Oryctolagus cuniculus: one gene and its partners. The protein of the gene in region 2 purifies or fractionates together with the protein of the main gene of each other region. This does not show direct contact. Links are inferred from orthologs where the notes say so. Each region holds a gene or a part of one and is shown on either strand. Other genes may lie near its edges.

What was found.
Region 1: the proteins of MAD2L1BP (region 2) and LBR purify together in Homo sapiens (co-immunoprecipitation; 3 studies listed by BioGRID and IntAct, counting the BioPlex papers as one, with this or other methods). This does not show direct contact. The link is inferred for Oryctolagus cuniculus from reciprocal best matches to the Homo sapiens genes MAD2L1BP and LBR.
Region 3: the proteins of MAD2L1BP (region 2) and MAD1L1 purify together in Homo sapiens (co-immunoprecipitation; 4 studies listed by BioGRID and IntAct, with this or other methods). This does not show direct contact. The link is inferred for Oryctolagus cuniculus from reciprocal best matches to the Homo sapiens genes MAD2L1BP and MAD1L1.

Annotation. Positions count from the first base shown.
Region 1 is NC_091444.1:40,003,372-40,014,057, reverse strand, and holds the start of LBR (delta(14)-sterol reductase LBR), read right to left. Parts: upstream 5,182-10,686; 5' UTR 5,026-5,181; intron 1,140-5,025; 5' UTR 1,126-1,139; coding exon 961-1,125; intron 1-960. UniProt on the Homo sapiens protein: Catalyzes the reduction of the C14-unsaturated bond of lanosterol, as part of the metabolic pathway leading to cholesterol biosynthesis.
Region 2 is NC_091436.1:126,439,846-126,450,251, reverse strand, and holds the start of MAD2L1BP (MAD2L1-binding protein), read left to right. Parts: upstream 1-7,565; 5' UTR 7,566-7,661; coding exon 7,662-7,707; intron 7,708-8,065; coding exon 8,066-8,331; intron 8,332-9,727; coding exon 9,728-10,240; 3' UTR 10,241-10,406. Other genes in the region: GTPBP2 (GTP-binding protein 2), read right to left, coding at 6-191. UniProt on the Homo sapiens protein: May function to silence the spindle checkpoint and allow mitosis to proceed through anaphase by binding MAD2L1 after it has become dissociated from the MAD2L1-CDC20 complex.
Region 3 is NC_091450.1:37,065,100-37,075,039, forward strand, and holds part of MAD1L1 (mitotic spindle assembly checkpoint protein MAD1), read right to left. Parts: intron 8,405-9,940; coding exon 8,280-8,404; intron 7,832-8,279; coding exon 7,750-7,831; intron 5,297-7,749; coding exon 5,166-5,296; intron 5,074-5,165; coding exon 4,959-5,073; intron 3,074-4,958; coding exon 3,012-3,073; intron 1-3,011. UniProt on the Homo sapiens protein: Component of the spindle-assembly checkpoint that prevents the onset of anaphase until all chromosomes are properly aligned at the metaphase plate.

The DNA of each region.
Region 1 (10,686 bases), on a different chromosome or scaffold from region 2:
GGATCCAGAGCTGGAGAAGGAAGCGCCGGTCCAGGACAACCCTGTCTTACGTTGCCCTGCAGCTAGGAACAGCCTTTCTATTTCCTCAGTGACTGCAAACAAATAAACATTGCATGATACATGAAGAAATTCAGACTTCAGTGTCCATAAATAAAGTTTTATTGGAACACAGCCATGTCCATTCCCTTCCATATTGCCTGAAGCTGCTCCTGCACTACAGAAAACACATGGCCTGGCCCAGCCAACACTGTTTACAACTTGTCCTTTGCCAGACCCTGGTCTAGAGCAAAGTAGGATCCAAGAGCTGCTGGTTACTGCTCGGCAGTGAGCGCCAGGATTGCTAACAGGCGGACAGAACTGTCATAGCACTTTGACAACCCAACTTAGTGTCTGTTGAATCTTACAATAAAAATGTGTGGCTTTTACTCAGGATGTCTTTTGATTTTTCTACTAATTCATTTTTGTAAAGTATTTGTATACCATCCATCAGGCCCTCACTAGATGGGCTGAAAAGCCATGGGCTGGACTCAAAGCTATTTAATGGCACTCTCAGTTAAGCCCAAACCCCTGGACATGAAAGATAAAAAATCCTTCCCACGCAGCCCTGTTTATCCCTCGGCCGGCCCGACCATCACACCCTTCCAGCAACATCAACTTCGTCATTCCAGTCTGTCCTCAGCACCTGGTCCAGGCTTCAGCTTCCCCGACACCGGGGCCATTCCCTACTCTTGATGTGCTCGGTCCCACCCGCAGCATACATGCAGCCCACCGTAAAGGTCTACTTTCCCCAGTAAACTGAGCTGCTGGGGATCGAGGCTCTGTGCCTTCTTCATGCATCCCCAGAGCCCAGAACAGCATGTGACCCACAGCAGGAACTCGACCCAGAGCCAGAACTCACCACCCTGCCTTAGAAACCGCACTCACTGTAAACACTCTCCGGGAAGCCAGAGGAGCGCTTACCTTGATGTCACTCTCCTTCAATTCCAGCTCAGTTCCATCCTTGTATTTTACGGTGTAGAGCTGAGATTTGCTGTCATGACTCAAAATCTCTACTTCGTAATAAAGCGAACTCCCGGGCCACCGACCTCTTACCACTTCACCATCCGCAAACTTCCTACTTGGCATTTTCTAAAATTAGCCTGAACAATTTTAAAGAAAAAAATTGAGTCAATATGTGCACAGTTATATTTATATTTTTTTCCATAGGCTGATCTCGAAGCTACAGCTTTCCAGATTTTCTTAATAAATGGTCAAAGTGCAGGGCCAGAAGCGTTTCTAGAGGAAAGGGGTACAACTCCTTAAAGATGAGAAAACTGAAGTTTAACAATGTAAATGGCAGGAAACAGCAGGTACCACCACACAGAAGGTGTCCTTTCTGCCACATTGTATCCCATGTGGAATCACTACATAAGGCTGATTTAGCCAGTGTGACACATGCGACACTAAGGATTAGTTATGACAATGTATGCAGGCATCAAATAGTTGCTCTAATGCAAAATGCTACCCACCTACAGTCACCGTATTTCCTGCTAATCGAAAGTCAGAGCAAAAAAAAAAAAAAAAAAAAAAGAGCACAGTCTCGCACAAGACACATTTGCTGACTGTGTATTTGCATATTGTTTTACAAAAGTTTTTAAAATGTTTTCAATTACATTTTAATAAATTGCCTTTATTGAAAACAGACTAGGAAAACCAAAAACGTGCAGCTAATATGCCAATAACCCATCAACAAGAAAAATAATTCTAAAATTAGAATGAATAGCAAATGTGGGCGTTATAAGCTTTTGATTTTTGGAGCCAAAGCCCAAACGTCTACCGAGTAACTCTGCCAACCACCCACGCAGAGCAGCACGCACCTGGCCGTCATCCAAGTTCCCCTCTCTCAAGCCTGTGGCAGACACCGACCCCCCAATTACAACATTCTTTTCCACTGAATCAAAGCCTGGCCCACGAAGCCTGGGATCTACAACACTCCAAGAAGCCACCAACAAATCTGCGAGCAGTGTCACTTCCACGAGGCCTGTCCCCCACCTGAAATGTCAGGTGACTGCTGGTGCCTCCAGCTCCTGGTGGTCACGCTGCTCCCTCTGCTGAGCAGCAGGTCCACCACCAGCGCCTCCGACCCTCCAACACCATGAACCAGCCGGCGGGGGCCCGCTCTGCTCCAAGAGGCAGACAGCAAGACCCATGGGGGCACGCTAAGTCACTTGCAGCTGGCCAGCAAGGCGACACAGGGATGCACATTCCTGTCACAGCCCGAGCCCTCAGACCACTGCGAGAAGGCTGCCCGACCTGGGCCTCCTGGGAAAGTCTTTCCTGAGCACACCTCCCCGCTGTTAATCACCTGAGAAAAACCTGCCCAAGCTTCACTCGTTCACATAGCTTCTAGATAGACAGCAGTAGATTACAGAAAACACAAGTGCTTATCTGGCGATTCAAAGATGTCAGCCAGTTACACATTAGGTAAGAGCCTGCTTTCTTCCCAACACCTGAGATAGCATCAGTGGGTAATGAATGGGTGTAGGCTCGAGGTATGAAGTCAGGCCCGGCCAGGGAGTCACCCTAGGGGCGGGCACCTGAGCAGCGGCCAGCTCTGGACAGGCAGGAGGCGCACAGAAAGGGAAGGTGACAAGAGCAAGCTTTGCCTGTTTCAACACTGAGCCTCAAGCCCCAAGTACGAAGAAAGAGGAAGGAAATGTGCCCTACTTCTCTCTTCTCGTGTGCCCCCTCCTCCCCCTGGGCTCCCCAAAGTCAATCCACCGTCCTAAGTGCTAGTTCTACACTGCTCAACCGGGGTTTGAAGAAGGCAGTTCCTACAATGAAGACTTCAGGGCTACCTGTAAAGGCCCGTGAGCAGATTCTTTCTGGACCTTTACAAAAAATGTCATTTTTTGGACATCTTTGCCTTGCACCTATGACACAGTGCACTCATAGTACTGTGCAATACTGAACACAGGTCAAGGCCAAAAAGATTTTTCTGTTACCCATTAAGTAAAATGGTTTGAGTCAAAGTAAGCCATCTGGTGGATGCATGCTACGTCCCAAAGCTTAGTTTTAAAAAAGATTTACTTAAGAGTTGGGACCTGATAGTGATCTTTCCTGACAGACGCAAAAAAGAAACCAGGGGCCTGCGCTTCAGCACAGCGGGTAGAGCCGCTGCCTGCAGTGCCAGCATCCCACATGGGCATGGGCACCAGTTTGAGTCCATGCTACTCCATTTCTGATCCAGGTCTCCGCTAAGGCCTGGGAAAGCAGTGAGTGGAAGACGGCCCAAGTCCTTGGGCCCCTGCACCGGCATGCAGAAGAAGCTCCTGGCTTCAGATCAGCCCAGCTCTGGCCGTTGTGGCCCTTTGGGGAGTGAACCAATGGATGGAAGACCTTTCTCTCTGCCTCTGCCTCTCTGTAACTGCCCTTCAAATAAATAAATCTTAAAAAAAAAAAAAAAAGAAAAGAAAAAAGGAAGGAAGGGAGAGAGAGACACACAAGAGACACAAGAGACAGAAAAAGAATAGAAAAAGACGACAAAACAAAAGAAACCAGCACTCTGCTTGGGAGACCACTGTCTCACATACAAATGTTCCCAAAGACGAAGCCAGCAACACGCGGACTCCTCCACTTTGCACAAGATCCACACACAACTGCCAGATGGGCGGATATGGTGCAACTGCATCCTAACATAATCTCCTGCAGGGCCAGGGTAGGACGCAGGGCCCCAGACACCTGCGCATGTCATTAGGCCAGAGGGAGTGAGACTGACGAAGATTGGCTTCTCTGGGCAAGGACATTAGCCGGGTGCTCCGAAGGAAAACCCGTTTCCTGACCTCGGTCATCAGGAGCAGAAGCTCCTGGAGCCGCAGCCTCCCCTCTCTTTAGCCGGAGGCTTGCTGACTCTTCCGTCTCAAGAGGCGCCAGCGTGTTACTATTTATCAGTGTTACAATCCTCTGATGCCTTTCCCTGCCGACGACTGTTACCCGGTCTTCCGGACATTCCCTTCACTTTTACCAACTGGTCTGAATGTGACAGAAACAACTCAGGTGAAGGTGCCTGCAACACCTGCGCCGACCAGCACGACGCACAAGCCCTGGCCTCGCTCCCTCCCGCTGCACCCAAATGCCGCCTTCCCGGCCGGCCGTACAGGCACAGCGGCCTTCTACTCTTCCCACTCCCCAGAAGGCTCTCGGAAGCTAAACTTGTCCTGAAATTTGGCCAGGGCCAAAGCAAGCCCCCCTCCCCCTCCTCCCTGGACCCCAGCCTCCCCTCGGAGCAATCCCCAGGGTGCAACCCCGGCCCGCCGGCGTCCGCCCGGGGGGCGGCAGCGGGAAACGCACACCCGCGGCGGGCCGAAGCCCCGGGCCGCCCACACCCGGCCCTGAGCGTGTCCATTGTGTCCCTTTCCAAGCATCGCCGGACAGCGCGGCGCTCAGCCAGAGCGCCTGGAACAAGGCCCCGCGCGATCAAGTGCTCACTAAGTGCCCCTTGAGGCTGCGGGAAGCGCGAGGCAAGCTGTCACTTCGGGGCGGGAGGATCGTTTTAACCTTAAAAGGCTGGGAAAAAAAAAAAAAAAGAAAAAGAAAGAAAAGAAACAGGATCGCGCCGCAGCAGGAGAGAGCAAGCCGACCCAAAACGTCCGCGTTCTGAGACCGCCGGGGCCAGGCACCACAAAGCCGACTCCCACAGCAGCCCCGCGCCGCCGATCTGTCAGCGGCGCTCGACCACGGGACAAAGGCGCCCACCGCCGCCCGCCCACCCCGCGCCGCGCCACCGCGCGCCTCCAACATGGAGGGAAACGTCCGCGGTTCAAAACCCGCCGCTCCACTTCCGCAGCCGCCGACCGCCCAGCGAGCAGGCGGAGCGGGAGGGGAAAGCAGCGAAGGCGAGGCCGCCGCGCCAGGCCCTGCGCCCGAGGACCCCGGCCCCCACGCGGCGCCCGCCCCTGCCTCCCCCCACCCCTGGCCGCCCCTCGGAGGCCGCGCCGCGGGGAGCGGGGAGCGGAGGGCGGGCGCCGGGCGGGGCCGGGGGCTCACCTGCGCCGGGCTCCGGCGGGAACTCACACTGCGGCAGGGAAGAGTCGCGCAGCAGCACCTCCGCGGCGGTTCCGCGCGCGCGACGCTGCCCGCCGCGCTCTCGCGCCCCGCGGTCCCGAGGCCCGGGCGCGCGCGCACCCGGTCCCGCCCCTGGGGGCCGCCCAGAGCTCCCATTGGCCCCTCGGCGTTTTGAATCGTTCCTGGCGCCGTCGATTGGCGGCGCGCCGTGGCGCGTCCGCTCCGCCCCGCCCCGCGGCTCGGCTCCGGAGCCCGGGGACGCCGGGGCATCCGAGCGGGCGGGTCGGCGCCTGGTGCAGCTCGCGGGCATGTTTGGCCCGGCCTTATCTCGGCCGCCCAGGCGCCCTCGCAACCCACGGACCGCGCGCTCCTCGCCTTTACCCTCCTGGCTTTTCGCAGGGGATAATTGGGGGTCCAAGGTGGCTTGGCAGAAGAGATTAAAAAAAAAAAAGCTTGGAAGAAAATAATAAATTCGTATGGTGATAACGAAGGTTCTGAGCCGAAGGTGCTTCTGGTTAAAATGGAATGGGGGCCATTCTTAGCGCGAGCTACGATGCCGCGGCTCCTGAGGCGTCCGGGGGCAGCTGGCGCCCGCACGACGCTGCCGTGGGAAGGGCAAGCCCGCCACGACGCGGGGCCAGAGGCGGAAAGGCCCGCAAGCCTGGCTGTAAGGGACCCCCCCTGGTTCCCAGCCCCTGTGCCCCCTGCAGTCTATCATCATTGCATGGCTGGCTTCCTTCCTTTTGAGGTCGAGAGTTTAAAACAGGCCGGTCGGGCTTCCCTGTTTTGCAGTGTGGTTTTAATCAGAGTCTTTCTCAACCCACTTACCAAGGACACCTAAGTGGATTTCTGCTTCGGAAGCGCGAGTAGGCTTGTTCTAGCCTAACACAGTTACAAAACACTGAAGAAAGCAGGCGGATACGTTGGGCCGCCTCAGTCACTCGCGTTCGGTGTGAATGAGCTCATCGAAGTCCCCCCCACCCCCCAGCCAGGAAATACGAGAACGAGATGAAGGCCGGAGCTGGAAACCAGAAGCCTCCTCGCCCCTCCTGTAACCCTACCCGCGTGTCCATCAAGTAGCCCCCTCGGGGAGGAATGTCTCTTCCCCGGGGCCCTGGGATGGGCGACGCCTGCAGCCGCGCCCCTTCCAACCCTATGAAAGAGGCGGGCAACTGGGCGGGTCTTCCTTCGTCAGAGACCCCCGACTGGAGCTGCTGCCGAAGGTGCCCTTCTCTCCACCTCCGCTTCCCTACGCCTTGTCTACCTCTGGCCTACGCCATGCCTCAACTATGCCCAGGTGTGTGTGCGCTGTCCCACCTTTGATTTAAAAGGCATTTATGAATTCATTTGAAAGGCAGAGTTACAGAGGGAGACAGACACTTCCATTGGTTCACTCCCCAAATGGCCACACCTGCTGGAGATGGGCTAGCCCAAAGCCAGAAACTTCTTCCCGGGCCCCAGCATTGGAACCGTCTTCTTCTGCTTTCCCAGGAGTATTAGTAGGGAGCTGGATTGGCAGTGGAGTGGCCAGGACTTGAGCCAGCACCCATATGGGATGCCAGCATCGCAGGCCGTGGCTTTACCGGCCATGCCACAGCACCGGCCCCTGCTGTCTCACTTTTAAGTAAACTCACTACTTTGCACCCTGTATATGTGCCTGTACTTAGAATGCTTCTCCAAGTGCAAGAAGGCAAGGACCTGGAATAAAATTCAGTCCCACCTCTCCCACTTCACTAAGAACAGGCCCTGACATCAAATTGCCATCACGGTGACAGAATTTGTTTACAGAAATGGACATTACACTTCCAGGTCAGAAAACCCTTGGGAGTTTTGGCAAACCCCTAAGTCTCAGTTGCTTCAACCCCAAAGGTAAGGTAACATTAACACCACTTCGTAGAGCTTCACAAATCAAAGTGCTACACCAGGTCCACAGGGACCCAGCACAGATACCATATCGAGACCTAAGAGATGCTGCTGTCCTTCAAATGTCATTTCCGATCCAGCTCTCTGCTGATGGCCCAGGTAGGCAGTGGAAGATGGTCCAAGTCCTTGGGCCCCTGCACCTGCATGGGAGACCTGGAAGAAGCTCCTGGCTCCTGGCTTCAGATCAGCACAGCTCCAGTGACTGCGGCCATTTGGGGAGTGAACCAGCAGGTGGAAGAACCTTTGTCTCCCTCTCTCTCTCAAATAAATAAATAAAATCTTTTTTAAAAAGTCATAAGATTGTAAATTACTAAAGTCAGCTTAGTTAACGTTATACCTTGCAGATTACTGAAGATGTTTTTTAAAGATTTATTTAGTTTTATTTGAAAGGCAGAGTTACAGGGAGAGGGTGAGACAGAAAGGTCTTCCATCTGCTGGTTCACTCCCCAAACAGCTACAATGGCCAGAGCTGGGCCAATCAGGAGCCAGGAGTTTCTTCCTGGTCTCCCACAGGAGTGCAGGGGCCCAAGCACTTGGGCCACCTTCCACTGTTTTCCCAGGCTATGGCAGAGAGCTGGACCAGAAGAGGAGCAACTAGGACTTGAACTGGCACCCATATGGGATGCAAGCAACACAGGCGGAGGTTTAAGCTACTACGCCACAGTGCCAGCCCCATTAAATCATTTTGAAAATAACTGATTTATTTTTAAAAATAATAAAATTTTTAAAAATAATAAAATTAAAAATTATTGCTTAGAGAAACTAAGCAATAATTACTGTTCCTTTCTAGTGAGCACAATGAAGTATACCGTGAAAACTCAAACATGGAAGCCACAGTTATACACTGTTATAATTTTCTTTTTTAACAATCGCTGAAAATTGTGTTGATTTGGAAGTGAAGACTTTTCAGCTTTCACTCTCAAAAAGATGCTTTTCAATCACAATTAGCAAGCTGCGAATATTCAAAATGTATAAAGTCGAAGTCCTTTAAGATGCTTGTCTTGGGCCCCCTGCTGGTCACACGGCCAGGAGTGACATCAGTCCCCTCTCCATCTACAATGCGGGCAGCAAAGCCCCATCTCACTCAGCCCAGAGAGCAGCCAAGAACTCCCCACAGGCCAGGAAATCTTTCTGCACGAAAGGCACGCTGGGGGGTCTCGTCCAGTCTGGCTAGCGTTCCGCCCTGCTCCCCAGAGCGTCCTGGAGCTCCAGCCTGAAGCAGGTCTGGAACGTGAAACCCAGCTGCGGCCTCCTGCGTTGCTTTATAAGGCTCACACTTCCACTCCGGAATCTGGGCAGGCTTCAGTCATGATGGAAGAGAGCTGACAGAAACACACTCCCACCGCCATCGTTCGATGTGCACCGCTTCTGTCCACCGGGATGTGAGCTCACGATCACCATCAAGCATTAAATCTGTCCGTCTCAGTAGCAGCTTTTATTTGAAACATCCACACATGTGTGTACTTGCAGCACTCATCCTCCCTTTTACTTTATTATTTATTTGAAAGCACAATGGGGGGGGGGGTCTTCTGTCTACTGGTTCACTCCCCCAAATGGCTGCAATGGCCAGAGCTGGGCCAAGCCAAACCCAGGAGTCTGGAACTTCATCCAGGTCTCCCACATGGGTAGCAGGGGCCCAAGCCCTTGGGCCGTCCTCCACTACTCTCCCAGTCCATTAGCAGGGAGCTGGATCAGAAGTGGAGAAGCCAGGACTCAAACTGGAGCTCTGAAAAACAAAAGCAGGCGTCCCCAGTGGCAACTTAGCAGGCTGTGCCACAATGCCACTCCCCACCATTTTTCTTAATGCTTGACTATTTTAAATGTTAAATATATTTTAATTAATTAATTAGAAGATGAAATTATTTGGATAGATCCAAGTGTACTGCCATTGCTGCTTCAAACTTTAAAAAGCCGAGGTCAGGGCCAGCTCCGTGGTGTAGTGGGTAAGACCTCTGCCTGCAGTGCTGGCATCCCACTTGGGGGCTGGTTCAAGTCCTGGCTACTCCACTTCCGATCCAGCTCTCTGCTATGGCCTGGGAAAGCAGTAGAAGATGACCCAAGTCCATGGGCCCCTGCACCCACATGGGAGACCCGGAAGAAGCTCCTGGCTCCTGATTTTGGATTGGCTCAGCTCTGGCCATTGTTGCTTCTGAGGAGTGAACCAGCAGATGGAAGACCTCTCTCTCTCTTTGCTTCTGTAACTCTGCCTTTCAAATAGTAAATAAATCTTTTAAAAAAAAAAAAAAAAAAAAGCCGAGGTCTGTGTCCCTTGGTAATAGTGAAAGAAAAGAGCAGTGGGATCTGCTGTGGTGATAATAATAACTCACCTTTATTTATTCCGTTCTTACCTCTGTCAGCTGCTGTTCAAAGCACTTCCTGTGTTTAAGTGATTTCCCTCTCCCTGAGAGCTGACTGAGGTAGGTGTATGGCACTGTGGTGGGGAACTGGGGAGGTTAAATAAGTCCCCAGACTTCCCCAAGGCTGGCTGGTTCCAGAGTCTGCACCCAGCTGTGCCACACTGCCTCTCTAACCAATTTGCAAATCCCTCACCAGGGAGTTTGTTCAACATGCAGATTCTCAGGCCTAACCCTGAAGCTCTGGGCCTGCCCAGCCGTTTTGGTTTTATTAAGCTGCCCCAAGGATGCCAGTGCAAGCTGGCTCTAGTTTAAGGATCCCTGGCAGCCAGCCTCATGTCACAGTGGGTTAAGCCACCACCTGCAACGCAGGCATCCCCGTCGGAGGCCCAGCTGCTCTGCTTCGGCTCCAACTGCCTGCTACTGTGTCTAGGAAGGCAGTGGAAGGTGGCCCTGGCCATGTGGGGGACCTGGATGGCCCTGGCTGTCGTGGCCATGTGGGGAGTGAACTAGTAGATGCAAGATCCCACCCCCTCCCTCTCTCACACTGCCTTTCAAATAAATAAATCTTAAATTCAAAAAAGAAACCCCTGGTGACATTAAGGGTTCCTCTTGTTTCAGTTTCCCATCTGAGGCTTTAAGCCATCTGATTCGCAGACACACTGGGTGGCTGTTCTCACAAACCTGTGCCACACCCAGTGCCATCCCAGGGAACTGATGTTACACTGGGGCTTGGATTAAGGGTCCTGGCTGATGGCCAAACTGAGACTGGCAGAGAGGCAGGTAGGGTCCTTTGGGGGTGGGCGTGGGTGCTGACGCAGCCTCCCTCCCCGCCAGGCAGGGCACACAGCTGCACTGTTCACATCTGTCTGTCCCAGCAAAGTGCACTTTCTTCCATTCCGAAAAATCTATTTCTTTACTGGCTGTAGAACTAATGTAGTGTTAAAATTTCAAAGGGTCATCATTTCCTTTTCATTTTTTTAATAATAAAATATGAAAAGGGTTAAGGGAGTTTAAACCAGAAAAGGACACGGAGAATCAGAGAGGCAAATCCATTGTTCAAGCAGAGCCGTCGTGACTCCACAGCACGTTTTCCACGAGAGTTTGCAGAGTAGACACCTGTGCCAGCGAGAGGGCCAAATGCATGATAAGCACGTGGGACCTTCATTTATGTTCTTTCTGGCCAGACTGGAGAGGGAAGTAGAATTCAGGACCAGAATTTACTAGACTGTAAACTCGATTATAGTTCATTGTTTCCTCTTTGTTTTTTGAGAAGGAGAGGGAGAGGGAAGGAAAGGGAATGGGCTCCTGTCCACTGGCTCACTCCCCAAAGGCCCACAGGGGCTGGCACTGGGCCAGGCCAAAG
Region 2 (10,406 bases):
CTCACCTCCGGGGGCAGGTACGGGGGATTGTTGGCTTTGCCCCCTCTGTTCCTTCCGTTCTTCTTCTTCCCCTTCGGGCCCCCGCAGCCGCTGCTGCCGCCGGCCCCCCTAGCCTTGAGGGTTCCGCCCATGGCCGGGCCCCCTCCGGGCCGGCAGCAGCCGCCGAACAGCTCCGATACCCGCGAGTCCATTCGCCGCTGCCGCCAGCCCCCCGCCCGGCCCCTCCCCCCCGCTGCCGCCGCCGCCGCCGCCGCCGCCGCCGCCGCCCCCTCCGCCGCCGCCGCCGCCCCTACTGCCACCGCCGTGTCGGGCCAGCCAGAGGAGAGCGGGGTGGGGCCCGGCGCAAGCCACGCCCCCGCCTCCTGCCTCCTGGTCGCGTCAGAAACAGCCGCGGTGCACCATGGGATACGGAGTCCACAGCCCTGGGATCTCGCTCGAAACCATAAGCCGCCGCCCTACAACTCCCAAGAAGCATCGCGGCATGCAGGGTCGCAGTAGTGGTGGGGCGTGGACAAGAGCGCGCCTTCGCGCGCAAAGACCTATGGGGGCTGTAGTCTGGCTCCCAGTCTTCGCGCGCCGAACCGCTCTTGTTCCAGGGCCGGGGGATGGGGCCGGCCACTGTCCGCGAAGGGTTTACATCGGGATCGAGCTTTGCGGGCGCCCCTGGGTTTGGCCCCTTAAGCGCAGATTCTGAACAGATTTTGGATGTGGAGAGCTGCAGAATTCGGGGTGACTTCGGCCTGCTGGCTCCACCCCTGCCTCGGTTTCTTCCCCGATGGCCGGCGTGCCGTCGGGGGTGAGTCAGGGCGAACGCCAGGGCGGAGGCGGGTGGTGGTTAGCCTAATTATGGCTGTTATTGTTGCGATGATTATGCCACCCGTACATAGTAGTCGCTGCTTTATGACCAGGCTGGCACCTTCCGAGGATTGGTTTTGGCAGCCCCAGGCACTGCCATGGCCCGACACGAGGCTCGAACCTATAAACCTGCTGGCTCCCGGGTGGGGGAAAGGAGGGAGCGGGGTGGGGTGCTGAGGGGACTGCCGCAGCGCGCCTGCCTCCTCCCCTTTGTTTTGAAACTGAACCAATAGGGGAAACCTAAGTTTGGTTTAAAAACCACCAGGGCTGTAGGAGGAGCCTGGCTCTCTCTAGGGGCGGGACCGGGGTTCCAATTACAGCAAGCACTGCGAGGGCGGGGAAGTGGCCGGGAATAGAAACTTGGCCAAGGGCTCCAGGGGCTTGTTGACTTCTGCTTTTCTTGCCAAGTCACCTCTCCTGTTCTTTAGCGCTCTTGCACTCGGCGAAGAGTAAACACATTCGTGACAAGGCAGTGTCCAAGGCACCAGAGAGGCAGGGCAGGGAAGCAGTCCTAGGTTCAGTTCCTAGCCCCTAGGCCCCCAGGACACCACGGAACAGTATATCCACTTCCCCTCTCTTCCCAAACACTGAGTGCATCCACGGCCAAGAATTAAAACAGCTCTTCCCCGCCAGGCCTCAGTTTCCCTTAGAGGACTGGAAGCAGCGGCAGTGGCTTACCTCTGGCAATCCCTGCAGGGGTTCAGACCTGGTGGAGTCCATGGCTTCCTGTCAGGGCCACATGGAGGGAGACTGGCGGTCTACAGATGTGTAGGTGTTGTCTGCCTAGCATAACTCCCCGAGGCAGAGAGCGCAGAAAGACCAAAATCTGCAAAAGGGCCCAACAGGCCCAGCCGATTGTGTAGGTCTTCAGGGGCTGCAAGCACAAGTGACTTCTCTTCTTGATCCTGTGCAGTTGTTGAGGGAAAGGCCCACCCCAGCCAGGAGCAGAGGACCGCTGCTGAGGACCTGAGACTGCAGAACTCAGCGAGTGACCTCCAGAAGGAAGGGGATTGGAAGGGAGCGATAAGACCATCCCCCAACACACTCACTCCAACCAGAAAACCAGGGCCTGCTGCTCTTGGGAGATAACCCTTGTCTGTTCATCCACAGGGATCTTTCAACCACCAACCCCAACTCGCAGAACTTAGCTTCACCCCTCCCCATTCCCGTGTCTCCTAAGTGGAGAACTTCTTTGAAGAGATGGGAAGGGATAGCCCGTTCTGATACACCTTTCCTGACCACACCTGGCCTACCACAGTCAGAAGTGAGGGCGGGTAGAGGCGGAGGCTGAACAAAGCTGTCTGTCGAGGAGATCAGGGTCCTGGGACCTGGAACGTGGTGTCTGCGTTGTTTCCTGGAGGCGTTGCTTAAGAGGTGCCTGTGAGGTGTGTGGCTGTGGGATACATATATTAAGGATACACACACCCACGTCACATGAAAACATTTTTCCTGGTATGTCATTAGTCACTTATTTGTGTGTAGAGTACTTCTGCATACGTTTAAACTCACATTTAGCAACCTTTCCCTTATGCTATCTTAATTTTATGTCATCCCCTAAGATTTTACCCCAACTCTTGGGTTATAAGTTATGCCCCAATATTTTCTTCTAGAAGCTTTGAGGCTTATTTTTATGTTTAGAGCTTTAATTTGTTTGGGTCTGTCTCTCTGTAGTATGTTGGTAGGAACTAATTTGATTTTTTTCCTGAATGGATAGGGAGTATTTTTTTTTTATTATTTGACAGATAGAGTTAGACAGTGAGAGAGAGAGACAGAGACAGAGAGAAAGGTCTTCCTTCCACTGGTTTACCCCCCAAATGGCTGCTATGGCCGGAACTACGCTGATCCGAAGCCAGGAGCCAGATGCTTCCTTCTGGTCTCCCACGCGGGTGCAGGCGCCCAAGCCCTTGGGCCTTGCACCCAGGGAGACCAGGAGAAGCACCTGGCTTCTGCCTTCGGATCAGCGTGGTGCGCCAGCTGCAACGTGCCGGCCACAGCGGCCATTGGAGGGTGAATCAACGGTAAAGGAAGACCTTTCTCTCTGTCTCTCTCTCTCACTGTCCACTCTGCCTGGCAAAAATAAAAAATAAATAAATTTAAAAAAAGAAAAGTCGTCATCATGATAGACTGTGATCTGCATGGGAGGGTACTTCAGAAAGTTTGTGAAACATGAAATTAAATAAGTGCAAAAATTTTTCGAAATCCATTGCTGCTCTTTCACGATATACATTTTGCATATTTATTGAAGACCTCTTTGAATTCATGGATTTCACATTGTTCTAAATTTTATTTTCATTTTATTGGAGAGGCAGACAGAGAGACAGTATCCATCTGCCAGTTTACTCCCCAGATACCTGCAACAGCCAGGGCTGGACCAAGCTGAAGCCCCGGAGCCCAGAATCAATCCAGGTCTCCCATGTGGGTGGCAGGGACCCAGGTATTTCAGCCACCCTCTTTTCTTGTGTCCCAGGGTGCACATTAGCAGGAAGCCAGGCATTCAGTATGCGGTGTGGGCATCCCAGGCAGCAACTAAGTGCTGCACCAAGTGCCTGCCCCCAGACTTCAAAACTTTTTTGCACCAGGACAAACATCTTTGAATTACACTTTCCACAAAAATATTTAAAGTACCTATGATGTAGATATCTTAGTATGTGGACCTGTTTCTGGACTATCTTCTGGTTTACTGTGTGTACATTTATTTTTTAAGATTTATTTATGTGTTTATTTGAAAGGCAGAGAGAGAGAGCGATATCCCCCATCCACTGGTTGGCCCCCACAAAATGGATCCAATGACCAACAGGGGCTGGGCCAGGCTGAAGCTGGAGCTAGGAACTCCGTCTGTGCATACGTTTAAGTGAATCAGAAGTGGGACAGTGGGGCCAGCACTGTGGCTTAGCAAGTAAAGTCACCACCCATGATGCCAGTTTGAGTCCCTGTTGCTCCACTTCCAATCCTGCTCCCTGTTAATGTGCCTGGGGAAGCAATGGAGAATGGCCCAAGTCCTTGGGCCCCTGCACCCATGTGGGAGACCTGGAAGAAGCTCCCAGCTCCTGGCTTCACACCTGCCCAGCTCTGGCCGTTGTGGCATTTGGGGAGTGAATCAGCAGATGGAAGATCTTTCTATCTCTCTGTCTCTCTGTAACTCTGTCTTTCAAATAAATGAAGTAATTAAGTGGGAGGGGCAGCACTGTGGCATAGGGGGTAAAGCCACCACCTGCAGTGCCGGCATCCCATATGGGCGCCGGTTCGAGTCCCGGCTGCTCCACTTCCGATCCAGCTCTCTGCTATGGCCTAGGAAAGCAGTAGAGATGGCCCAAGTCTTAGGGCCCCTGCACCTCCATGGGAGACCCAGAAGAAGCTCCTGGCTCCTGGCTTTGGATCGGTGCAGCTCCAGCTGTTGTGGCCATTTGGGGAGTTAACCAGCAGGTGGAAGACCTCTCTCTCTCTGCCTCTCCTTTCTCTGTGTAACTCTGACTTTCAAATAAATAAATAAATCTTAACAACAACAACAACAAAAAGTGGAGCAGCTGGGATTTGAACCCGTGTCCATAAGGGATGCTGGGATCACAGGTGCTGGCTTAATCCTTTGTACCACAATGCTTCCCTTCCTCCCCCAACTTTTTTTTTTTTTTTTTTTTTTTGACAGGCAGAGTGGAGAGTGAGAGAGAGAGACAGAGAGAAAGGTCTTCCTTTTGCCATTGGCTCACCCCCCCCCCCCCAATGGTCGCTGTGGCCAGCGCACTGCGGCCGGCGCACCACACTGATCCGAAGCCAGGAGCCAGGTGCTTCTCCTGGTCTTCCATGCGGGTGCAGGGCCCAAGCACTTGGGCCATCCTCCACTGCACTTCTGGGCCACAGCAGAGAGCTGGCCTGGAAGAGGGGCAACTGGGACAGAATCCGGCGCCCCGACCGGGACTAGAACCCGGTGTGCCGGCGCCGCTAGGCGGAAGATTAGCCTAGTGAGCCGCGGTGCCGGCCCAGAAGCTTCTTCTGGGTCTCCCACGTGCTGTGGAGACCCAAGCACTTGGGACACCTTCCTCTGCTTTCCCAGGGACATTAGCAGAGAGCTGGATTGGAAGTGGAGCAGCTGAGGCACTAACTGGCACACCATAAGGGATGCTAATGCCAAAGGCGGAGGCTTAACCTGCTATGCCACAGCTCCGGCTCTTATAACTCTGCCTTTCAGACAAATGAATACAACTTTAAGAATCTTTAAATGCATCTTCAAAAATGAGGTGGGAGGGCCTAGGATCCAGATGACACTGTTAATGGGATAAGCAGAGAGTGAAAAGAACCTGTGGAGGAGACTGAGAAGTGCCTAGATTATACAAGTAGAAAGAAAAATAGACAAGTGTCAGGTTATGGAGGGCAAGAAAAGAATCTGTTTCAGGAATACTAGATGTTAAAACATACCAGAAAAGTATGATTAAAATACTGTGGTATTGGCTCAGAAATAAACATACACATAATAGGTCTGACATTGTGGTGCAACAGGTTAAGCCGCTGCTTATGATGCCAGCATCCCTTATGGGCACCAGTTCAGGTTTTGGCTGCTCCATTTCTGATCTGGCTTCCTGCTAATGCACCTGGAAAAGCAGCAGAAAATGGCCTAATTACTTGGGTCCCTGCAATTCATGCAGGAGATCTGGATGGAATTCCAAGCTCCTGGCTTCAGCCTGGCCCAGCCCGAGTCATTATGGCTATTTAGGAAGTAAACCAGCAGATGGAATGACTCTGTCTATGTCTCTCCCTCTTTCTTTGTAATTCTGCCTTTCTTTTTATTTTATTTTATTTTGACAAGCAGAGTTAGACAGTGAGAGAGAGAGAGACAGAGAGAAAGGTCTTCCTTCCGTTGGTTCATCCCCCAAATTGTTGCTACGGCTGGTGTGCTGTGCCAATCTGAAGCCAGGAGCCAGGTGCTTCCTCCTGGTCTCCCACACGGGTGCAGGGCCCAAGCACCTGGGCCATCCTCCACTGCACTCCCACGCCAGAGCGGAGAGCTGGACAGGAAGAGGAGCAACCGGGACAGAATCCGGCGCCCCGACTGGGACTAGAACCCAGTGTGCCTAGTGAGCCACGGTGCCAGCCCAATTCTATCTTTCAAATAAATAAATATATTTTTTAAAAAGTGGGGGAGGGGCCGGCAGAGAGAGAATCCTTCCATCCACTGGTTAACTCTCCAAATGGCAGCAGTGGACCAATCCGAAGCCAGGAGCTGGGAGCCAGAAGCTTCTTCAGGGTTTCCCATGTGGGTGCAAGGGCCCAAGGACTTGGGCCATCTTCTACCGCTTCCCCAGGCCATAGTCGAGAGCTGGATCAGAAGTGGAGCAGCCAGGACTCAAACATACCCCTATGGGCTGCTGGCTTAACCCACCTTGCCCAACTTACTCTGCAGCCTCCCAGAGTGATCCTATCCACTCCCATACTAATGGCTGTCTGTCCCAAATGGTGTTTCTAAATGTCTCTATTCACTGTCCTGTGGTGACACTGAACCCAGCCCATCAAAAGCAGGTTTCATCTTTTCTTCTCACCTCCTAGTAGATCTGGTCCTCGTTTATTGCTCCATCTTTCATCGAATGGAGCGCCTAGTAATTCAGTTGCTGGAGTCACAACCCTGCTGGTTTTTCTTTTTTATAGACTGACTGATTGATTGGTTTATCAGAGTTACAGACAGAGAGGGAGAGGCAGAAGAGATCTTCCAAGTACTGGTTCATTCCCCAAACTGCTGCAACAGCCTGGACTAGGCCAGGCCGAAGCCAGGAGCCTCTTCCAGGTCTCCCACGTGGGTGCAGGGGCCCAAGCACTTGGGCCATCTTGGGCCATGCACATTAGCAGGGAGCTGGATCAGAAGCGGAGCATCCAGGATTTGAACCGGTGCCCATATATGATACGGCACTGCAGACAGTGGCTTAACCCACCGCACTATAACGCCAGCCTGGACAGTCTGTTTCCTCGGATCAACTACTAATTTATGCTCATTGGGCCCCTTTGTATCTCCAGGACTCACCCAGTTCTCTCCCTCCCCTGCCACTACCCTGGTTCCGTTCTGTCTCAGCACTACCTCGAACTAGAACCCCTGTCCCTGTCTTTTATCCTCCCTGTAATCCAACTTCTACAGTGCAGCCAGCAGGGAGATTAAACGGGAAAGATGTGAACATAATCATGTCACTTCCCCTACTTATAAACAGCTTCCCTACCTCCCTACGGGGGATCGAGTTCAAAGCCTATCAAAGCTTAGAAGATCCTGTCATGATCCTGTCTCCTCCACGCCCCAGCGCTTTAGGAATTCTTCATTCCTTGAACAGGGGATGATGTTCTTGTCTCTTGGGGTCTCCTCTTTACCTTGCTAACTGACAAGGTCACAACATCTTCACACATTTCTTCTGGAACCACGTACCCCTGCCCCAACCCGCTCTGGGTTAGGCGCCCCAGTTCTTCCCTCCCCCAGCCCTTGTATACCCCACTGTATCAACGCATCCCATTGCACTGTACGCATAGGCAGTGCCCCCCTCGACGGCAGGGCCCGCGCCGGGCTTGTCCCCGGCGGAGCCTCCAGCACCGAGGACAGGGCCCGGCGTGAAGAAAGTAATGAACCCAAGAATGAATGGCTGCTAGAGGGCGGGTGGCCGCGAGCGCCTGGGCTCGCGGTAGCCGGAGGGCTAAGGGTGCCAGCGCGGGCTCCACCCCCGACCCCGCCCCAGGGCGGTGGCGCCGCGCCCCCTTCCGGCCGAGCCGGAAGTGGAGAGGGCTTCCCATGACGCTCCGCGGGCCGATCATTCTAACGCACGGAGCTGAGGGAGGAGGTCGCGATGGCGGCCCCGGAGCCGGAAATCCCGTCGCCGGCCGCAGGCACTGGTAAGGCATGGGGGCCCGGGCTTGCGGCTCCTCGGGGCCCTGTTTCTTCCCTACTGCCGTCCTGTCCTATCACCGCGCCTCTGGTCCTTCTGGTTCCGAGCTCCGGGTTCGTCCGCTCTCCGATGAGACTGCGCCTCGCCCTCTTTTCCCTGGGTCAGGAGCCCGATTTCTGAGTAGAGCCTCAGTCACTGACCGGGAATCTCTCTCGTATCGGCCACTTAGTCATGTACGGCCGCGGGGGTCAGGAATCCCGCACGTACGCACTAGGGTATCTGCGGCGTCGGGGTGTGCGTGGTGGCCGCAGGGAATGCGAAGCCCGACCCTGGCTTGTGTCTCATTTCCCTCTCTTGTGTCCTAGATCTGGAGTGGTTTGACCAGTCGGAAGAAATTCACGGCTCCCCGGTGGAACTGCCGGAGACTGCCTCTGCCCCCGAGGCTCCCGGCTCTGCGGAGCACTGCTGCCCGAGAGACTGCATGGTGCCGGTGGTGTTTCCCGGGCCGGTGAGCCGGGAAGGCTGCTGCCGCTTTACTTGTGAACTGCTCAAGCACATCATGTACCAGCGCCAGCAGCTGCCTCTGCCCTACGAACAGCTGAAGCACTTCTACCGAAAACCTTCTCCCCAGGTAGGCACGGGCTACGGGGGGGAGACGTCGCGGCTCTTGCCTGGCGAGCAGGTGGAACGGGGATCCGAGCCATCTGCAGGGACAGTCGGCGGCGCTGGCTCCGCGCTCGCGTCTTCAGCGGGGTGACCCTCTCTGGTTTTTTCCCTCTTGCTGTCTTCTCCCGAAACCCCTATTAAGTGTTGCTTTTGGACTCGAAGAGTTGAGCCTTTACATTTTAGTTTCTTTTCTCCAAATTTTCATGTTTGGTTTTTCCTTGATGGGGGAGTTCTTTGACTTTATATTCCAACACCAATACAACTTATTCTTTTTTTTTGGCAATCATTGTTAAGAGTTCTTAACTTTCGCATATGCTCTTTGCTCTTTTTCCCCCCAAAATGAGTTTATTTTGCTCTCATATATATATACATATATATATACATATATATATATACACATACATACATACATATATACCCCAGCAAAAATTGACTGCTTTGTGGCATGCCACCAAATTTCCTTGGCTATCTTAGCTTCTTATATCTGGCCGCTCTCTTGGCTGTTGGAAGGGTGGGAGAACTATGGCACAAAGAGTAGATTTCACTTTTTGCTGTGATGTTGATAAAGCCCAGTGATGTGGCGATGACATTCATTGAGCTAGACGTTCAGTCTTTTTAAGATTTATTTATTTACTTGAGAAACAGAGTTAAGAGAGAGAGGGAGAGAGAGAGAAAGGTCTTTCATCTGTTTCACTTCCCAAATGGCTGCAAGAGCTGGAGCTAGGCTGATCGGAGCCAGGAGCCAGGAGCTTCTTCTGGGGCTCCCATGTGGGTGCTGGGGGCCCAAGCTCTTGAGCCATTTTCTATTGCTTTCCCAGGCCATCAGCAGGGAGCCAAATCAGAAGTGGAGCTCCTGGGACCAGAACTGGTACCCATATGAGATGCCAGCTCCGGAGGCAGATGCTTAACCTAGTATGCCACAGTGCCGCCGCCCCCGCCCCCCACTTTTTTTTTTTTTTAAGATTTATTTATTTATTTGAAAGTCAGCATTACACAGAGAGAAAAGGAGAGGCAGAGAGAGAGAGGGGTTTTCCATCTGATGGTTCACTCCCCAGTGGGCCGCAACAGCTGGAGCTGAGCTGATCCAAATCCAGGAGCCAGGAGCTTCTTCCAGGTCTCCCACTTGGGTGTAGGGGCCCAAGCACTTGGGCTATCCTCCACTGCTTTCCCAGGCCACAGCAGAGAGCTGGATCAGAAGAGGAGCAGCTGGGACTAGAACCGGCACCCATTTAGGATGCCGGTGCTTCAAGCCAGGGCATTAACCCACTGCACCACAGCGCCATCGCCCCTCACAGGGTTCTTTAAAAGGCATTAGCTTCCCCTACCTTGTCTCTCTGTCTCACCAAGCTTTGTTGTCACAGGCAGAAGACGTGGTGAGGAAGAAGCCGCGGACGGCTGCCGAGGCCAGCAGCAGGAAATGCCAACAAGCCCTGGCGGAACTGGAGAGTGTCTTCAGTCACCTGGAGGGCCTCTTTGCCCGAACCCTGGTACCACGAGTGCTGATCCTCCTTGGGGGCAGTGCCCTAAGCCCCAAGGAGTTCTACGAACTTGACCTGTCCCGGCTGGCTCCCTACAGTGTGGACCAGAGCCTGAATACAGCAGCCTGTTTGCGCCGGCTCTTCCGGGCCATTTTCCTGGCTGACGCCTTTAGCGAGCTGCAGGCCCCACCGCTCATGGGCACCATCGTCATGGCTCAGGGGCACCGTGACTGTGGAGAAGATTGGTTTCGACCCAAGCTCAACTACCGCGTGCCCAGCCGCGGCCACAAACTGACCGTGAGCCTGTCCTGCGGCAGGCCTTCCGACCCAACAGTGGCTTCGGACGATTACATCTGGTTCCAGGCCCCAGTGACGCTGAAAGGCTTCCACGAGTGACGGAGGACGCTTCCTCATCCTGGAAACGGATGGCCGAATGGCCCGGCTCCCTTCGGCACCGAGCCACCCGACTCTCGCTTGGAGCTGGCGTTGCTTCCCGGTGAGAGGGGAAGGCACTGTCCTGGCTGCCTCCCCTCCTCACACTTCCGGGGGGCTGACGGTGTGT
Region 3 (9,940 bases), on a different chromosome or scaffold from region 2:
GGACCTGGCTGACTTTGGCAAGAGAAGCGCCTGGCGCTCCTGGGATCACCGCCTCTCAGGCCTCAGCCTCCCAGACGCCTCCCTTACCCAGGTGGTCTTGCCAAGACGACACAGGCACCTCCAAGGGGTCTCCCAGTGCCTCCCTCCCATACTGCCAAGTCACTCCCCAGCACACCTGCACCTGCACAGCCCAGCTCCTCGTGAGCCCCGCCCCCCTCCCAGACTCAGCCCATGCTGCCAGGAAAACCTTCAGATCCACTCTGAATGCCTGGAGAACAGAGATGTCTACACCCTGACTGCAGGCCCAGTGTGCCCCAGCCAACAGGCCCTGCCTCGCCCGGGCCTGCGATCACCAACTACACACTCCGCACTGCCTCTCTCCTGGGCCCTCCAGGCCTGAAGCCTCCCTGCTCCAGCCCCCTGGCCCGTGTGCTGGGCATGTCACGGGTGGCAGAGCCTGTCGGGCTGCACATGTGACCCCGTGTGCTGGACATGTCACGGGTGGCAGAGCCTGTCAGGCTGCACATGTGACCCCGTGTGCTGGACATGTCACGAGTGGCAGAGCCTGTCGGGCTGCACATGTGACCCCGTGTGCTGGGCATGTCACGGGTGGCAGAGCCTGTCGGGTTGCACATGTGACCCCGTGTGCTGGACATGTCACGGGTGGCAGAGCCTGTCAGGCTGCACGTGAGATCCCGTGTGCTGGACCTGTCACGGGTGGCAGAGCCTGTCAGCCTGTAGCTCACGTGACCCCATGTGTGATTCATGTCACGGGTGGCAGAGCCTGTCAGCCTGTAGCTCACGTGACCCCACGTGTGGGATAAGTCACGGGTGGCAGAGCCTGACCAACAAGGCCCCCAACCCCAAAAGGCTTCCCCACACGCTCATGGACTCACCCCACCTACTCACCCGTGCACCTCCCCGGCATCTCAGGGTTCTTCTTGCTGACCAGCAGAGGGACAAAGCCCAGAGCCCTCAGAGAGCCTGGGGCAGCCAGAGCCTGTCCTCCGAGCAGGTCCGCGCCAGTAATACCTGCTCCACGGGCCTAGGGCCCCTCGAGAGCCTGGTCAGGGGCAGGACAGGCAGACCCCTCCCACTCTGTCAGCCAAAACCTTGGCATCCGCAAGGAAGACCCAGAGGCAAGAGCCAGAGGGGCACAAGCCGCTCCCAGCGGGAAGCCAGGATCGCCAAGGGGATGAGCGCCACCTAGTGGTGGCCGCTCCTCAGCACCAGCCGTCTGATGGTGACCAGACCTCACCCTGAAGGCCAGGCAGAGCTCCTGCCATCAGCGAGACCCTGCCGACCACTGCAGGTCCCCAGACGGCTTTCAGAGGGCTCCTAGAATCAGGAGACGCCAGCGTGAGTGTCGAGGTCAGTGTCCCTGTGTCATGTCTGAGCCACGCGTGCCACATCTGCTGGAACAATGGAACAAAGAGCCCGGGCTGCAGCGGGAACCCCAGGGCCTCTCCGTGACTGCACCTGCCTGGTGCTTCCCAGCACCACACCCAGGCCACCAGAAGCTCCACAGGGCACCTCCCGCTGGGAAATCGCAGGAACCGCCCAGAACCTGACCCCCAGCCCACCCAACGACAAAGAAAAGAAAAAGGCAAGCACAGGGAACCGTTACCCACCTCACCGCGGCGCCCAGGACCAGCCCTCGCGCACTGACACTGGGTTGGGCGAGGCCCAGGAATCTGCTTCTTCACCCAACTCCAGTGCCACATGTAGTCTGCGTGCCACGGCAACCACAGGGCACGCGGCGAGGCAGTGGAGGTCACAGGCTGACCCCCAGCCATGTGAGGAGGTGGTGCCAAGGGCACCAAGGCAGCCGGGCACAGGAGACCTGCCCGACAGGGAGGCACCTATCCTGGGCCTCAGGGCCGAGCTAGGGCCGAGGACGGACAGCACCCACCCGGAGGCCCCTCCTCGGCACAGCAGAGCCGCACAGCGACACAGGGACTCCTCGGCGGCTCTGGCCTCTGCTGCACCAGCCGGGCCCCGGGCCTGACACAGTCCCAGCCTGACGTCCCCCCCCTCCAGCCTGGCCACCAGGTACGGACACAGGCGGGACAGACACAACACACTAGCGCCCGGTCACCATGCTCAGGCGGGGAAGAGGGACTGGAGGGCGCAGGCCGCACGGCAGCCCCAGCCCACGATGGCCAGCTGCAGCCGCCAGCCGCCAGCTCCACCACAGGCCCCAGGCACCCTGCACTGCAACAGGCCAGTCGCTCAGGCACACGCCGGCCTCTGGCTCTCTCCCCACGGGAAGTCGGTTGTCTCCCCTGGGAGCAGGAGAGCCTTTTCCAGGAAGTTAATTAGCCCAGAACACAGGAGGACGCACAGCATCAGGCCTGCCGGGGCAGGCCCTCCACGCGCCCAGCGTCGGCAGCAGCGCTTCAAGAGGAAACAGCAGCCCGGCCTGCTTCTGTGATGTGGACAGCAGGAGAGGAGGAAGCGGCATCATCAAGTGACGGCGACCTGAAGCCAAACCACGACCGGCAGGCTGCGACGCCGGCACCGGCACCGGCAGCAGGGAGGACGCCTGGGACTCCAGGTCTCAGAAGCCCACAGGCAGGCGCAGCAGGGCGCTTCACACACCCCAGGCCCCAGGCCCAGCCTCCACACGCAGGCCCCTGCAGAGCCCTGCCCACACTACACACCCGGGCCAGGGGCCCAGCGCCAGGGGTGGGTGCCCAGCAGCTCAGCCCCGGGCCCAGGGCTTCCTCCCCGGGGTCGGCTCTCAACCCTGAAACTTCAGCTGTGTCCACGGACGATGGTCACCCGGAGGGAACAACACCCCCAGAGCCATCACCTCCTCCACCCGTCCACAGCCACAACCCTGCCACCACCTTCAACAATGACGCTCCCAAGGGGCCGAGCGCCCTGCGCTGCCCCACACGGGCCGTGTGTGGGGGTAAAGGCTCCCGCCGCAGCCCAGCGGCCAAGGAGGCAGGGCCGAGTGCCACGCTGAGAGCAGCTCCGGAAGCCGCCTGCCCAGGGCCTCCTACCTGAGGTTCAAGCCTGTGGCTGCATCCAGTCTCTCCCAGCCTTGCAGCTTTGCGAGCAGCCTCTGGAAAGACAAAGCCAAGTCCCCATCACCGCCTGCCCAGGAATCACCGCGTAAAACCCACCATCCCACAGCGGCCCCGGAACGGCCTGTGCTCATCTCACAGGACGTGCCAGGACGTGCAAACGCCCACCCCACATCCCCCAGCCGGGACCCTGCACGCGTCACATATCCTCCCTGGCCCCCGAATTCAAGCCTGAACCCCAGCAAGTGCAAAGGGAGTACGGAGGGCAGGCATCACAACAGGGTTAGGCCACCCCCTGCAGTGCCGGCATCCCACATAAGCCCAAGTTCAAGTCCCGGCTGCTCCATTTCCAATCCAGCTCCCTGCCAGAGCGCCTGGGAAAGCCACAGAAGACGGCCCAAGTGCCTGGCCCCTGCCACCCAGGTGGGAGACCCAGATGGAGCTCCTGGCTTCCTGGATCTCCTGGCCGGCCCCGGCTGTGCAGCCATCTGGAGAGTAAACCAGCAGATGGAAGACCTCTCTCCCTCCTACCTTCTCTATAACTCCGCCTTTCAAATAAACCATTTTAAAAATAAACTAAAACGCACGGAACCATGAGTGCAGGGAGCCTGTGCCCCACAGAGCAGACCCAGGTACTGAGCCCCGAGGGCTCACCTCTCCCCCATCTCCCAGGTGCTCCATCAAATGCCAAGCCACAGGGCACACACACTAACCCCAGCCCACGGAGAGCTGCGCCAGCAGGCCGCACAGAAGGGCAGTCGGCCCCCGGGTGTCAACACCATCCCATCACCAGCCTGCCCACCATCATGACCCACACACCAAAAGTAACGGGACCTCAGGGCTCTCCCGGAACGGGAGCCACCTGCAGTTGCCCCGCTGCCCGCCACCCCACTGTGGCACACAGCACACATGGCTATCCAGGGCATCACTCAGTCAGGTGTTTCCCACGCCCTCCACGTGGTAGCGGGTGCAGCCAACATGACACGCCACACCCACGGGGCAGCCCCCGTCACCACTCCTTGCTGCACAGAGGGAGCCCGGTGGAAGGAAGGCAGCACACCCACGCAGGACCCTCAACCGGGAGGTGGGACTTCAGGCCCTCAATCTTGACTCATTTCCAAGAAAAGTTATTTCCAGAGAAAACATAACTTCACTTGGGATGCCAGCCTGGGAGGGGAGCCCCTGCCCTGACGGCTGGGCTGCCCGGGCGCTCAGCTGGATGCAACTCTGGGAAAAGGCTGGGGCCCGACACGGGCTGGGGATGGCCAGGCCGCGGTGAGGCCGCGGGCGGCACAGAAACGGCCAAGCAGCACGGACCCTGCCACCACACGGGGGCGTGCTGGGCAAGCCGGAGGCCTGAGGCGGCTGTGAGCACGGGAGGCGGCATGGAGGACAACAAACCCCAGCGGAGCACACGTGCTGTGCACAGGCGGCACCTCTGAATTGCAGTCTCCTCCCCCGCCTTCAGGCCTCCCAGGGCCGCAACCTCCCACACGGACACCTCGGGTCCCAGCCACCCGCAGGGGGCTCTGTCACTCTCACCTCCGACGGCACCCAGGACTCCCGCCTGACTCCCATCAGCACAGCCAGGCAGCCTGCAGCAAGCCAGCGTCAGACCTCACAGCTCTCAGTCCCGAGCCCGCACCGCGTCCCCACGGGCAGGGCTGGGCCCACGGAGGCTCCAGGCAGAGCCGCCTCCTGCCTCCCAGCCTCGGCAGGCACCCACGTTCCCCGGCCATCCCCAAAGGCGGCCACAGCCAGCAGAGCCACCCCCTGGCACCCTGTGCTGACACGACACACCCAGATGGCCACAGCCTCTCTTCACGCAGGGTCAGGGTCACAGGCTCCGGGATTCACAACATTCTGCTGACGCCTCCAGGTCCCGTGGGACGGCCAGTGGAGGACGCGCAGCCTCGGCCTCACCTCCTTCTCCAGCTCCAGGTCCACCACGGCCTGCTGCACCTGCTCCTGGCGCGCCAGCCGCCTCTGCAGCCCCTCCAGCTCCTCCTGGAGCAGCCCGTTGGTCTCACTCATCTCCCTGATGGGGCCAGAAACGGTCTCTCAGGCAGCCGCCCACCTGGGGACACAGCGGGGCCCCCACGACGGCCCCACGGCCCCCACGGCCCTCACCGCAGGTGTGAGTTCTCGTCCTGCAGCCGCTTCAGCTCCCGCTCCATCTTGGGGAGCCGCGCCAGCTCCGACTTCATGCTCCTCACGACCACGGCGTCCTGCTCCTGCAGGGACAGCTTCTGCTCCAAGTCCTGGCGTGGGGGAGGGGGGGACAAGAACGAGCTGCCGAGCCTGGGAAACGCGGGTGCAGCAGGTCAGCGCCGCCCGTGCACCAGCATCCCTCACGGGCACCGGTTCGTCCTGGCTGTCCTGCTTCTGACGCCTGGGAACACAGCAGACGACGGCGCCACCACTCGGGTCCCCGCCACCCACACAGGGGCCGGGATGGAGTTCCAGGCTCCAGGCTTCAGCCAGGCCCAGCCCCAGTGTTGCGGCCGTTTGGGGAGTGAACCAGTAGATGTTAAGATCTGACAGCCGGCACCACGGCTCACTAGGCTAATCCTCCGCCTGCGGCGCCGGCACACCGGGTTCTAGTCCCGGTCGGGGCGCCGGATTCTGTCCCGGTTGACCCTCTTCCAGGCGTGCCTCCACCCTCCCTCCGCACCCTGCACAGCCAGCGTGCACGCGGCCACCCTTCCCTCAGAGTTCTCTAGGAGCCAGAGCTACTCCCCATCTGTCCCAGAGACCCCAGCACCAAAGCTCCCACTGTCCCCCACAAACAGGCAGGCGTCAGCCAGTGACACACATGTGACAACAGTCTGTGCTACCAGAGAGGACAGACATGTCACCCCAGGACACGAGTCACTCAACAAGCTAACGTAGGAATCTGGGACTCAGGCAGTCAGTCAGCAAACGCTAACAGAGCCCATGTCTTGTCCAGGTACTGGGTACAGCAGGGGACAGAGCAACACGGGACATCAGGCCCAAGGGGTCAGCAATGCCGAGCAGGGGCTGGGAAAAACGAGGCAGGACGGTAGAGTGGGGTGCAGGGCAGACGCTGGGGCCGGGTAGAGGGTGAGCCCCCAGCCCGGGGCCAGGTAGACGGTACAGAGGCGAGAGCCGCAGCACCCACTCTGATGCCAGGGAGCCGCTGACGGGGCTCGGGCCCCACCTCTGCCATGAGAGCAGCTCAGACGGGCACAGGCCGCAGGCAGATCTGCGACGGCGCTAAGTCCACTCCAGGTCACTTCCAGCAGCTCTCTGCTCTCCCTACGTGTGCTAGGGCCACCAGTCAGCTCAGGTCCACCACAGTCAGCTCAGGTCCACCACACACAGCCCAGGGCCACCACAGCCAGCTCAGGGCCACCACACAGAGCCCAGGGCCACCACAGCCAGCTCAGTTCCACCACACACAGCTCAGGGCCACCACACACAGCCCAGGGCCACAACACACAGCCCAGGGCCACCACAGCCAGCACAGGGCCACCACACAGAGCCCAGGGCCACCACAGTCAGCTCAGGTCCACCACACACAGCTCAGGGCCACCACACACAGCTCAGGGCCACCACAGTCAGCTCAGGGCCACCACACAGAGCCCAGGGCCACCAAACACAGCCCAGAGCCACAACACACAGTCCAGGGTCACCACAGCCAGCCCAGGGCCACCACACAGAGCCCAGGGCCACCACAGCCAGCTCAGGGCCACCACACACAGCCCAGGGCCACCACAGCCAGCTCAGGGCCACCACACACAGCCCAGGGCCACCACACACAGCCCAGGGCCACCACAGCCAGCTCAGGGCCACCACACACAGCCCAAGGCCTCCACAGCCAGCTCAGGACAACCACACACAGCTCAGGGCCACCACACAGCTCAGGGCCACCACAGCCAGCTCAGGGCCACCACACACAGCCCAGGGCCACCAGAGCCAGCTCAGGGCCACCACACACAGCCCAAGGCCTCCACAGCCAGCTCAGGACAACCACACACAGCTCAGGGCCACCACACAGCCCAGGGCCACCACACACAGCCTGCTCAGGGCCACCACACACAGCCTGCTCAGGGCCACCACACACAGCTCAGGGACACCACAGCCAGATCAGGGCCACCACACACAGCCCAGGGCCACCACGGCCAGCTCAGGGCCACCACCCACAGCCCAGGGCCACCACACACAGCCCAGGGCCACCACAGCCAGCTCTGGGACACCACAGCCAGCTCAGGGCCACCACACAGCCCAGGGCCACCACAGCCAGCTTAGGGCCACCACACACAGCCCAGGGCCACCACAGCCAGCCCAGGGCCACTACAGCCAGCTCTGGGACACCACAGAAAGCTCAGGGCCACCACCCACAGCCCAGGGCCACCACAGCCAGCTCAGGGCCACCACAGCCAGCTCAGGACCACCACACAGCCCAGGGCCACCACACACAGCCCAGGGCCACCACACACAGCTCAGGGCCACTACAGCCAGCTCAGGGCCACCACAGCCAGCTCAGGGCCACCACAGCCAGCCCAGGGCCACCACACACAGCCCAGGACCACCACAGCCAGCCCAGAGCCACCACAGCCAGCCCAGGGCCACCACACAGCCCAGGGCTACAACACATAGCCTGCTCAGGGCCACCACGCAGCCCAGCTCAGACAGGCTTGCGCCAGCAGGGGACGCCGCGGCCCCGTTGCAGGCAGTGACGCAGGCTCACCTTGATCTTCTGTTCCTGGTCGGCCTTCACCTCCTGGCTGGCCTGCAGCTCCTGGATCTTCTGGTTAGCTTCCTGCCACTGTCTGTCACAGGACGACAAGGCATGCGGTGAAGCCAGCGACCCCCTGCCTGGCCCCCAGACACGCTCCCCCTGCAAAGACACCCGGCACCCTGGGCTCCAGCTCCTCACCTCACAGGGCGGGTGGGCAAGCCCAGACCACCCACGAGGTCCTTCCCAGCTGTGACCCCCCAGGTCCCCCACTCCCAACACCGCTCACCCCACACCATCTGCCTGCCCCGGGGCAGCTGCAGCGGGCTGCCCAGGACTGACCACTCCCTCACCCCTGCTTCAGCTCCGGTCATGCCCGGCCTCTGCCCAGCTTGTTCCCAGCCCCAGGACGCGCCCTCCCCACCCTATGACCTCGGGCCTGACTGAGGAGTCCCAGCGGGCTGCCGTCATGCGCGATCTGGCTCAGGGCCCCCAGGTCTGGGCACCAGCCCCTCCTGCAGCCGGGGCAGGCCCCCCCGCACCTGTGCCGCAGCTCCAGCTGCTCCCCCAGCTCCTGCTTCTCCGACTCCAGGCGCTTCAGCTGCCTCTCCTGGTCCGTCAGGCTCCACTGCAGCTCCGAGACCCTGCCCTTCAACGCGTTGATGGTCTGCGGAGAGGGGACACAGCAGCCGCTCACCGAGGCTGGTCCCAGTGCTTGTCAGGGGATGAGGCTTGTCTGCAACAGGGCGAGGACAGACCCACGCCCGGGGCACACGTGATGGACCCCATGCCTGACAGCCTGCCAAGGGCCTCCAGCAACATGAAGTGCGTCAGCCAGGGTGAGCCGGGCCTTCATGCCCAGGGCCCAGCGTCCACCTGGCACACACCCCTGCATCCCCACTGCGCTCAGCCTCCAACCCCAGCAGCGCCACACAGGAGGGAGCTGACCTCCAGGCCAGCGGGGGGGGGGGGGGGGGGGGGGACTTGGAGGGCTTGGAGAGCAGCGGGCAGGACCTGGGAGGCAGGCCCGAGCACAGCCAGCAGCCGCCAGGACCGCCAGGACCGCCAGTCCAGCTAGCCCCTCCGGGCCACCCTTGGCGTGCCTCGCGCCTCTCCGGGACCTGCTGATGACCTCCCACACCGCGTTCCTGGCTCAAGTCAGCACAAAGGCCGGCCCACTGAGAAGCGTCACACACATGGGCACACAGAAACCCCCGGGGAACCCACACAGCAAGCCCGCCACAGTGACTGGAGCTGGGCAGCCCCCCAAGCGGCTCACTCTGTAAACAGGCCCAGCACTCGGCTGCAGGGCCCCGAGAGCCCGTGCCCAGCCTTCACCCACGGAACGCACGGGGTGCCTCTCACCCCACAGCCCACTGGGGGCTGACACAGGCCTGTGGGAAATGGGACGCAACACACACACGCTGGGGGCTGACACGCCCACGCTCATTCAGCACACTGCAAGGGACCGACTCAGGAACCAGCAAAGGAGAAAGGTGTCAGACACCTGACGAGGAGCACAGGCTGACACACAGGGCCCATGGGACACGGGACACGACACGCACACGCTGGGGGCTGACATGGGGCCAGTGGGACATGGGACGCGACATGCACACGCTGGGGGCTAACACGGGCCTGTGGGACACGGGACACGACACGCACACGCTGGGGGCTGACACGGGGCCCGTGGGACACGGGACACGACACGCACACGCTGGGGGCTGACATGGGGCCAGTGGGACATGGGACGCAACACACACACGCTGGGGGCTGACACAGGCCTGTGGGACACGGGACGTGACACGCACACACTGGGGGCTGACACGCCCACGCTCATTCAGCACACTGCAAGGGACCGACTCAGGAACCAGCAAAGGAGAAAGGCGTCAGACACCTGACGAGGAGCACAGGCTGACACAGGGCCCATGGGACACGGGACACGACACGCACACGCTGGGGGCTGACATGGGGCCAGTGGGACATGGGACGCGACACGCACACGCTGGGGGCTAACACGGGCCTGTGGGAAGCGGGATGTGACACGCACACACTGGGGGCTGACACGGGGCCCATGGGACATGGGACGCGACATGCACACGCTGGGGGCTAACACGGGTCTGTGGGACACGGGACGCGACACGCACACGCTGGAGGCTGACACGGGCCTGTGGGAAATGGGACGCAACACGCACACACTGGGGGC